Danio rerio: one gene and its partners. The protein of the gene in region 1 interacts with the protein of each later gene in a pairwise test. Links are inferred from orthologs where the notes say so. Each region holds a gene or a part of one and is shown in the gene's direction. Other genes may lie near its edges. The genes, in order: fhl3a, mrm3a and hipk1b.

The links.
Region 2: the proteins of fhl3a (region 1) and mrm3a interact in binary tests that used the Homo sapiens proteins (3 or more experiments, as listed by UniProt). The two-hybrid records come from large-scale screens. The link is inferred for Danio rerio from reciprocal best matches to the Homo sapiens genes FHL3 and MRM3.
Region 3: the proteins of fhl3a (region 1) and hipk1b interact in binary tests that used the Homo sapiens proteins (3 or more experiments, as listed by UniProt). The two-hybrid records come from large-scale screens. The link is inferred for Danio rerio from reciprocal best matches to the Homo sapiens genes FHL3 and HIPK1.

Annotation. Positions count from the first base shown.
Region 1 is NC_133191.1:36,956,055-36,959,721, forward strand, and holds part of fhl3a (four and a half LIM domains protein 3), read left to right. Parts: intron 1-115; coding exon 116-285; intron 286-838; coding exon 839-1,025; intron 1,026-2,978; coding exon 2,979-3,130; 3' UTR 3,131-3,667. UniProt on the Homo sapiens protein: Recruited by SOX15 to FOXK1 promoters where it acts as a transcriptional coactivator of FOXK1.
Region 2 is NC_133190.1:18,619,323-18,621,780, forward strand, and holds part of mrm3a (rRNA methyltransferase 3A, mitochondrial), read left to right. Parts: coding exon 1-99; intron 100-184; coding exon 185-352; intron 353-2,458. UniProt on the Homo sapiens protein: S-adenosyl-L-methionine-dependent 2'-O-ribose methyltransferase that catalyzes the formation of 2'-O-methylguanosine at position 1370 (Gm1370) in the 16S mitochondrial large subunit ribosomal RNA (mtLSU rRNA), a conserved modification in the peptidyl transferase domain of the mtLSU rRNA.
Region 3 is NC_133186.1:2,720,289-2,723,754, forward strand, and holds part of hipk1b (homeodomain-interacting protein kinase 1), read left to right. Parts: intron 1-351; coding exon 352-504; intron 505-1,926; coding exon 1,927-2,070; intron 2,071-2,344; coding exon 2,345-2,556; intron 2,557-3,056; coding exon 3,057-3,184; intron 3,185-3,466.

The DNA of each region.
Region 1 (3,667 bases):
ATTTAAAGATCTTGTGCCACATTTGTCTTTACATCTGTCTGAAAATCGAAAACAAGGAAATAGTTTGTTTTAAAGGCTTCCTTCCTTTTTTTCTCTCTCTCTCTCTGTTTCTCAGGAACCAGGAAGCTCGAGTATGCCGGCTCCACATGGCATGAGGGCTGTTTCATTTGCAACAGCTGTCAACAGCCAATAGGCTCCAAGTCCTTCATCCCAGATAAAGATGACCACTATTGCGTACCCTGCTATGAGAACAAGTTCGCACCACGCTGTACTCGATGTAAACAGGTCAGTGGTGAGAGAGATTTCATCAGCTTTAAAATAAGTAACCATGTGTTTCGAATCAGTTCATGCACTCATTCCTCCACAAAAAAAGTCCAAATTCTGACCTCATTTCTTCTTCCTGTTGAATATCAGACGCCGTGCTGGTCACTGATTAACTCTGCCTGTCAATTTCACATCCTGTCTTGACAGGCCACCATCTGTTTGGACTCTTGGCTCTATTGTTTTAAAAAAACAATCATTTATCTCTTGCTATTTGCATGTGAAACACAAGAGATTTTTTTTTAAATCTGGAAACAGTTAGTTTTGATTTTACCCAAAACTAATTAGAAAACGAATCTAGAATGTATGAAAAGATATTTTAAGTCTCAAGATTGTCTCAAAGTCTCAAAACTGATGTCTCAAATTCTTTGTGGCTGCTCAATAAAAGCTACATTTTTGTCTAAACGTATAAAGTACAAGTGGTAGTCCATTAAAGTGAATTTAAAGGTGTTGTTTTTTTAATGCTAATCAATTTAATGAAAGTTTAAATGTTACTTTTCCATCTTCTCCACTTCAGGCCTTGGCTAAAGGTGGTGTGACCTATAGGGATGAGCCGTGGCATAAGGAGTGCTTTGTGTGCACAAGCTGTAAAGTCCAGCTAGCTGGCCAGCACTTCACCTCTCGTGATGACAGCCCATACTGCATCAAATGCTTCGGAAATCTGTATGCTAAGAAGTGTGAAGCCTGCAATAAACCAATTACAGGTAAATGATGCAGTAGTGTCACTTTGTTTCAAAAACTGATGGTGGACTAGTGCTCCCACAACACTTGAAAAAAAAAAATACAAAAGGGGGTTTTCACATAGTTCTGGTACTGTAAGAAGCTTTTGCACAGGAGAAATGTTTTCATAATTCCTAGAAGGAACTAATTGCAGAAGTATCCCATATAGAAATCTGATATTGTATATGGAAATATTTGCAAATTAAATATATGACATACAAGTTCATTTTTGGGTTGCACATTTCACATAAAATATATGTAATATTAATAAAAATAATATAATTGGAATGTTATTATACTTTAATATTAAATGTTGAACTTAACATTCAACAGCTGTAGTTAAATAAATCAATGAAGGACACCCATGCAACAGAACTCAGATAAGCTCAGAAGAATCAAAGCTTGAAAGAATAAATTACGCGATTGTTTTCAGCAACAGGCTTCAGCCACTGTTTAAACTCATCTTTCTCCAACCAGGAGTACGCAAACTTACATTTTCCCATCTGTTTCGCTCTATGGTTGTGTGACGTGTACATGTAGAGGTTGTGTACATGTGGAGAGCGTCAAATCACCTTCTCGCGTTTGTCGCAAACTATGTGAAATCCCCCTGACGGAGAAGCTTGAACCAATTGTGTGGATCGAGCACACTGATTTTTAATATTAGGAAAAAAATAAATATATTTTTGCTTTTTTTATTGGAGTCAAACACTTTGGTCAACTTTTAAACAAAATGTAAGACCTTGTAGAAACATCATAAAGACTTTTTAATAGCTTTTAAGGGCCTTAATTTTCTCATTATTGATTTATCTAAATATACAAAAGATCTGAATTAATTAAACTGCAGCAGTTTACTGCTTTAGCTGTATTACACCCAGTTATGGCGAGTAGACAATACATCAGAGATGCACCGGCGTCATTTAAAGCAGGAGTTCCCAAACTTTTCAGCCTTCGACCCCTAAAATAACAATGCCAGTGACTCGCAACCCCCAGACTCCTTAGAGGTGGTTATAAATATATAAACGTTGTGCACACAATAGGCCTATTGACAACAAAAATAGTGCAACAGTCTAATAAACATATAGTTTTTATAGTCATTTATTAATTAGTTCAATTTAATATTAACCTTAACTAATGAGACTGGTGGACTCAGCACAAGTCTATTCTTGGTTTAATTTTGGAGACCGCCATATTTTAACATACATGTACATATTTGTCATGCCTGTTAAAACAACAACAAATCAACGGTTAAAAACGTGAATAAATAGCCATTTTTGCAATATTTTAATATTTATTTTATATGTGAAATACAGATATGAACTTGCATCTCATCTGTAATTTGCACACATTTCCATTTATCAGATATCTATATGGATACAGACTTTGTGAGTTTGCAGGAACTTTACATGGTTTTAGTTATCTAAATGCCCTTTGCTGGGGCTAAATCATTTTCCACTTCAGTAAAAGTTTCTTAAGTACAGTATACACAACAGACAACAAAAACACACCTCTGATCATGGCTGATCCTCCAACCTCCAGTTCTTGAATTTATGTTAGTGCCACACTTGAAGTTGCAGTCAGCTAGCTTACATCAATTTTAAGTTCCTAGTTAAAATGCAACCAGGAAAACAGTTACAGGAACTGGAACTAGTCACCATGGTGTCCCTCAAGAACTACATGTTCCATCTAGGGCAAATATTCCTGGTTTCTTTTGCACCCTCACTAGGAACCATGAGTTCTAAGCTGACAGACATCAACATCATTACACAGCATCAGCAGCTGGTGTATAGTGTTATCAGAGCCAATTGCATTTAGTTTGTTTCATTAATGGAGATGGAATGTTGACAAATAAGTTGTGATACAAAAATCTTTATGTCACTGTTAGTTCCTATCATGCATCTTGATTCCTGAGAACTAACCCGGTTTAAATCTCTCTTTAGGTTTTGGCGGGGGAAAGTACATCTCGTTTGAGGACCGGCAATGGCACCAGCCGTGCTTCACCTGCTCTCGATGCTCTGTCTCTCTGGTGGGAGCAGGCTTCTTCCCCGAGCAAGATGAGATCCTCTGTCGCAACTGCAACAGCACCCTATAGAATACAACCCTCATGCACATGCCTTACCTTCCTTTACACATGCACACACACACACTATTATACACTGCTGTGCCCTCACCCAAGAACTACCCATTTCAAGTAACGCCCATGCTGATACTGCTATTTAACATAACAGCAAACCAGCAATCTACCCCTCGCACAATCATCACAACCCTCAACATACACTTGCTGGTTTACAACTGGACAAACAAGACTTGATGCTTCCTATGCAACGCTGAGTTCAAATCCACCGCACAATCCAGTATCAACACTCCATTAATGTACAGGCCTCGATGCACAGATAAAAATATCTGATCTGCCTACTAGTTATCGCCTTCTTTATTTTTGCCGGCCAGTCAGAACTGTTATTAAGCTGGTAGTAGTCATTAATGGGTGGATGTAGTCTGTGTTTGCAGCCTGTAAAAGAACTCAAACAGATTCCTTCAGAAACACCCAAAGGTCAAAGGTTTGGTGTTCTGTTAAAGTGACCGAACATCCCATTTAGAATTGTTCCAAACACTCTGTGCCAAGCAAAGT
Region 2 (2,458 bases), on another chromosome or scaffold:
AGCTTCCTCTAGACAAACTACAGCAAGCCAAGCTCATCAAGGTCAAATATGAAGACATCAAGATGTGGTCTGACCTGGTCACTCCTCAGGGTCTTATTGGTCAGTTGCTGGAGTTGGTTTCGAAATGTAGTTTTCTTTTAAACAGTAAAACAAAAAAATATCATTGTTTCTCTTAAATTCACAGCTATTTTCTCAAAGCCTGATGCCTCCCGCCTGACATTTCCAAAGGACGCTCGTCTTCAGTCTGTCCCTTTGTTTCTGATATGTGACAATGTACGAGACGCTGGAAATCTGGGAACTACTCTACGCTGTGCAGCAGCAGCAGGCTGTGACCGTGTTCTTCTATCCAAAGGTGTGTTTTACATACGTTTTTATTGAAAAACAAACCAGTTTGACATCATTTGGAACAAAGTCTGGCCAAAATCTAGTTTGTTGCAGGAGGTTGAAACAGCTTGCCTAATTGCCCGTTTCCACTGAGAGGTATAGTACGATACAGGTCGGTACGGGTCACCTTTGTCAAGCTTGCGTTTCCACTCCCAAAAGGGTACCCTTTTGGTGGGTGTGGTGTACAACAGAAAGTTTCAGATGACTTCATTTTTACTCAAGGAAATGTCCCAGTAAAGCTGTACGGGTTGTTCACATATCATAAGAGTAGCATTTCTCACAAAACAGATGCTTTATACACATGAATACTTGTGTATAAATGTTTATTACTTACCTTTCTATAAACATGACTTGATTATAATTGCAGATCAATGACAAAATCAGTTATATAAAATAAATATATAAATGCAATATATATATATATATATATATATATATATATATATATATATATATATATATATATATATATATATATATATATATATATATATGTATACTTATTATTACTTTTTAATTATTTATGAATAGTTAATTTGTTTCTATTGCAAAATTTTGGTTTAAAAACAATGTATTGCTTAATATAAATAACTAGGCTACAGTATTTAATGTGGGAAATCATTAATTAAAGTTATTAGAAAATTAAGCAAATACAAACTATTTAATTGCTTGAGTAAAATATTAATATCGTGTTATACATTTTTGTAAAAAGATTTTGATTACATATAAAAGGTATTATTGCCTATATTAACTTGCTATTATTTCCTTCATTATAAATGAATCCATTATATAAATTAAACTTGTTCAATTTGGGCAAGATCGTTCAGCAAGGCCAGCAAACGAGTATCTGCTATATTGACTCTGTCAGACAATAATGACTGATAGAAAACTGTTCAGTCTATTATAATGAATGGCGATCGGAAACACTGTTCCCCATTCGCCCGTCTCGATCGCAAAATTTGTAAAATAAAGTAAACACTATTGTTTATTGTTCACAATATTTATTGACTATACATATCAAAATATATCGATGACTATGTCCAAGAAGACATTACTAACATTTACTTCTGTCGTAACCATATATGGTTTGCCTAGATTGTGTGTGCCAGATTGTGTGTGCCTAAAACGTGTGTGGTTCTGCGGGCCTGCAGCAGGATATAATTGCAATGGGTACCAAAGTGCTGTACATAAAACACATGCAAATATACACAAAACCAAAACACATAAACCCACATCACATGATTAAAAGCTAAAGAAAATAAGTATTTTCAGTGATCTCTGAAAAGACTCAAAAGTTGGAGCTGTTCTTTAGGAGAGTGGAGAGTCTTGGAGCTGCTACTGGAAAAGCTCTATCACCTCGACATTTTAAGCGTGATCGTGGGACTGTCAAATAAAGATGATCCTTAGAGCGAAGAGATCTCACAGGTTGGTGTATATTAATTAGCTCAGAAACATACTCAGGGGCCAGCCCATGGAGAGATTTAAAAACACACAGCAGTACTTTGTACTGAATGCTAAACTGGATTGGCAGCCAGTGTAGAGAAACCAGTACAGGTGTAATGTGTTCTCGTTTTTTGTGTGTCTGTTAAGAGCCTGGCAGCTGCGTTCTGGACCAGCTGCAGTTTTGAGAGAGAGGCCTGGCTCACACTCACATACAATGCATTGCAATAATCCAGACGAGAAGAGATGAAAGCATGAACAACCTTCTCCAAGTCACTGAAAGAGAGGACAGACTTCAGCTTGGCAATATATCTAAAATAGAAAAAACTATTTTCGACAACCGCAATAATTTGCCCATCAAATTTAAGCTCAGAGTCAAAGATTACACAAAGACTCTTTACAGAGGAATGTATTTTTCCAGGAAGCAATGACAGACTGCCATTAGAATCCCTTTTAAACAAGTGGCATGAGGAATGGGAAGCATTAGAAAATAATAAATGATGTGAAATATAACCTGAAATTTAAAGACATTTTAAGACTTGATTTGATTAAGTGGTTTTTAACAGATGTTGTATTGGACATACAAGAATGACCCATGGTTTTTTGCTCCAAGGTGAAAACCCCTTACTATAAA
Region 3 (3,466 bases), on another chromosome or scaffold:
AATTTTAGTAAGGAATCTGCTATATTGTTTTAATGCAATTAAAGAGCATTTTTATTATACAAGACTAAATTAAATGTTTATTTATTTATTGCCACATTTGCAACTTATGGCTATTTTATGGCAAAATGGATATACATTAAAATATTACACACTTAATAACTTAATTGCCTAATAACTTGCCTAATTCTGAGAGCTTTCTCATTCTCCATATACTGAAACCATCTCACAATGTTCAAAGTCCTGGTCCAAAGACGTTCTCTAAGACTTCAGTAATCTAACTGTAATCATTCAGAGCACCAAGAACAATTTTGTGCACCAAAAAACTCTTAACATTTCTTCTTCTTGATGCAGGGCATCTCAGAGTGGTCAGCACAATGGTGTCGTCCAGCAGAACCCACATATCCTCAGCGGCATCAACCCCACTCATTCCCTCAATCGAGGAGCGACTACAGCTACTCGCTCGCAGAACAAGAGGAGCCGCATCTGCTGCGACACCAGCAGCAGGTACTGGCCCATTCACTTATTTCAAAGCTGCCTTTAATATGTTTAATTGCACATTTCAATCTGCATTTGTTCAGTCAGGGTTTTTTTATTGTGTGTAAAAAGATCAAACACAAGTGCTTGATTCTTGCCGTTTGGATTTAATATTAGAGATGAGCATACATTTCATTTCAAATTAGACAATTAATTTGTTTATAATTGAAACATGGCAAATGGAATGGGACGACTGCATAAATAATAAATTACATTAAATTAATCAGAAAATAATTGAAACACACTTTGCAAATTATAATTTTGAGACCAGGCATGATCAAACTGTCTATACTAGATGTCGAATTGGACATTCTAGGTTGACTCATTTATATTTACTGAATAACGAAGCACCACCTAAATGTAATTACTGCCAAGCTGCTCTTACTATGAAGCATATTTTGTTGGAATGTGAAAATTTGAATACCATAAGACAACATTTTTATAAGAAGAGTAGTTTGATGGATATTTTAAAACGGGTACCACCAGGATGAATCTTAAATTATTTATCAAAAGTTGAACAGAAAAATCATATTTAACTTTGAATATATTTTTGTGTGAATTTTATTTATTTCTAAGTAACTTTTTTTATTGTAATACGAATTTTTATATATATCCATTTTGCCATGAAATAGCCATAAGTTGCTAATTTCGCAATAAATAAGTAATAATTAAATAAATATTTTGAAGTTAGTCTTGTATAATAAATATGCTCTTTAATTGCATATATATATATATATTTATATTTATATATATATATTTATATATATATATTTATATATATATATATATATATATATATATATATATATATATATATATATATATATATATGTATGTATGTATGTATGTATGTATGTATGTATATATATATATATATGTATGTATGTATATATATATATATATATATATATATATATATGTATATATATATATGTATATATGTTATCTAAGGGTGGGCTATTTATTTGATTCTTTTTATTTAGTTTATTCTGTTTTTCTATGCTGTTGTTCCGATGTATTCCGCTATTGTTATGGTGTTCTGTATGCTGTTGTTCACATGTTAAAATAAATCAGCATTTTAAAATGCAATATTTAATGTGTCACTCAAAATGGACTCGTCAATTTTTTTTTTAAGTTTTTAAGTAAATAATAATTTAATATTAATCTGACCAGGTAACTGTTAATACTTGGTTAATGAGCGGTGGTTGTTGGTTGGCAAAATTAACCGAAGTGAGCATCCCTAATATATATATATATAATTTATTTTTATTTTTTTTTATGTGCAAAACTTTTATTCCTATTGGTGTTTTGTGGGATTGAGTTATTATTTTATTTTCTCCTTGAGGCTGTTAAATGTTTTTGTACTTACCTTGTGTGTGTGTGTCTCATCAGCAGTGCTCTGGTGGCCTCTCAGTCTTACAGCGCTCTTCTGACTCAGCCAATCATCATCTCCGACACCCCGAGTCCTGCAGTCAGCGTCATCACCATACACAGCGACTCTGAAGACGAGGATGAGCGCAAGTTTCACCCCGCCAGGTGACCACGCTTCCTGCTAACATGTTTTTTTTTTTTTTTTTGGAGTTCCTAGAAAAAAACAGAATATTAAATGAGAGAGTAGTGGATGTAGCTTGTTTTTTTTTTTATTTATTTACTTGAAATAATTTTACTACTAAAAATACAGATTTTGGAAGTAAGCATGTGTTTGAATCCTGCAGGAAACATATTGGTATTTTGTTTTTCCTGTTTTATGATTTTATCCTTGTGAATATTCATTATTTTATCTCTAACACTTTTCTCTTCTCTTTTGTAGCTGCGGCCCCAGCCATAGGACGAATGTGATCAGCTGTCTGACCGTTCACGATTCAGACTCCTCCACCGCCAGTCCTTTAACCCCCAAACCCCAGAACGGTCACATCGGGCTCCAGTCCTCACGACTGGCCAAATCTCTGGCAGTGGTGGCGCCGACTGTCAAAACACAGCCTGTGGAGAGCTCCATATCGGCCAAAATCCCACCGGCTCTAGGCAAGTACTCCATTTCTTGGTCAGTTATTTTATTTTATTCTTTTTATTTCGTGTGTTGTGATGGGCAGCATTGCCTTTTGTTTTTGTTAGTATTTGTTTTTCATTATTTGTTTTAAGTTTTTTTTTTCCCGTTTAGTTTGTTTTTCCATTTTTGTTTGTTTGTTTTTATTTATTTTTCATATTTGTATTTTGTTTATTTTATTATTTTTTGATTTTGTTTTTATTTTATTGTTTTTAATTTTTGTTTGTAATTTATTTTTCATTTTGAATTGGTTTTGTTTTAGTTCAGTTTTCGTTTTTACTTTGTTTCTTTTTCGTTTGTATTTTATTTGCATTCTTATTTATTTATTTTTTTCGTTTTGTTCCGTTTTTTTTTTTTTTTTTTTTTTTTTTTTTTTTTTTTTTTTTTTTTTGGAGGGGGGGGGGGGGGGTGTTTTTTGTTTGTTTGTTTGTTTGTTTGAGAAATATGTAGTAAAAAAAAACATTGGTTGTGTGTTTAGGTCTTCCCCAGAATTACTACATGAAGCCGAAGAGAGCTGCAGCTACAAGACATCAGAGCAGCTCAGGAGGAAGCATCAGTGAGCACCAACAGGAGCCCAGCAGATCTCAACCACTAAACCTCAGTCAGGTGAGCACAGAAGACCTGAGCTGTGTCCGAAACTGATCTTTATCCAATAAATACTAGTGATAAAAGAAACAAAGCTTCGAAAAACAAAGCGTCAAAACAATTTTATACAAAAAAAAAAATTTGTATAATGTTTAAGAAATGTATTTTTGTAATTTTGTCTTGAATATAACTCACCAATGTTGCTAATATGGCAGACTTAAACATGTTTTTTGTTTTGTTTTGCATTATCAATGCTTTTAACATGGGATTAAGACTTAAAAACTAACTAAAAGTGAAGAAATG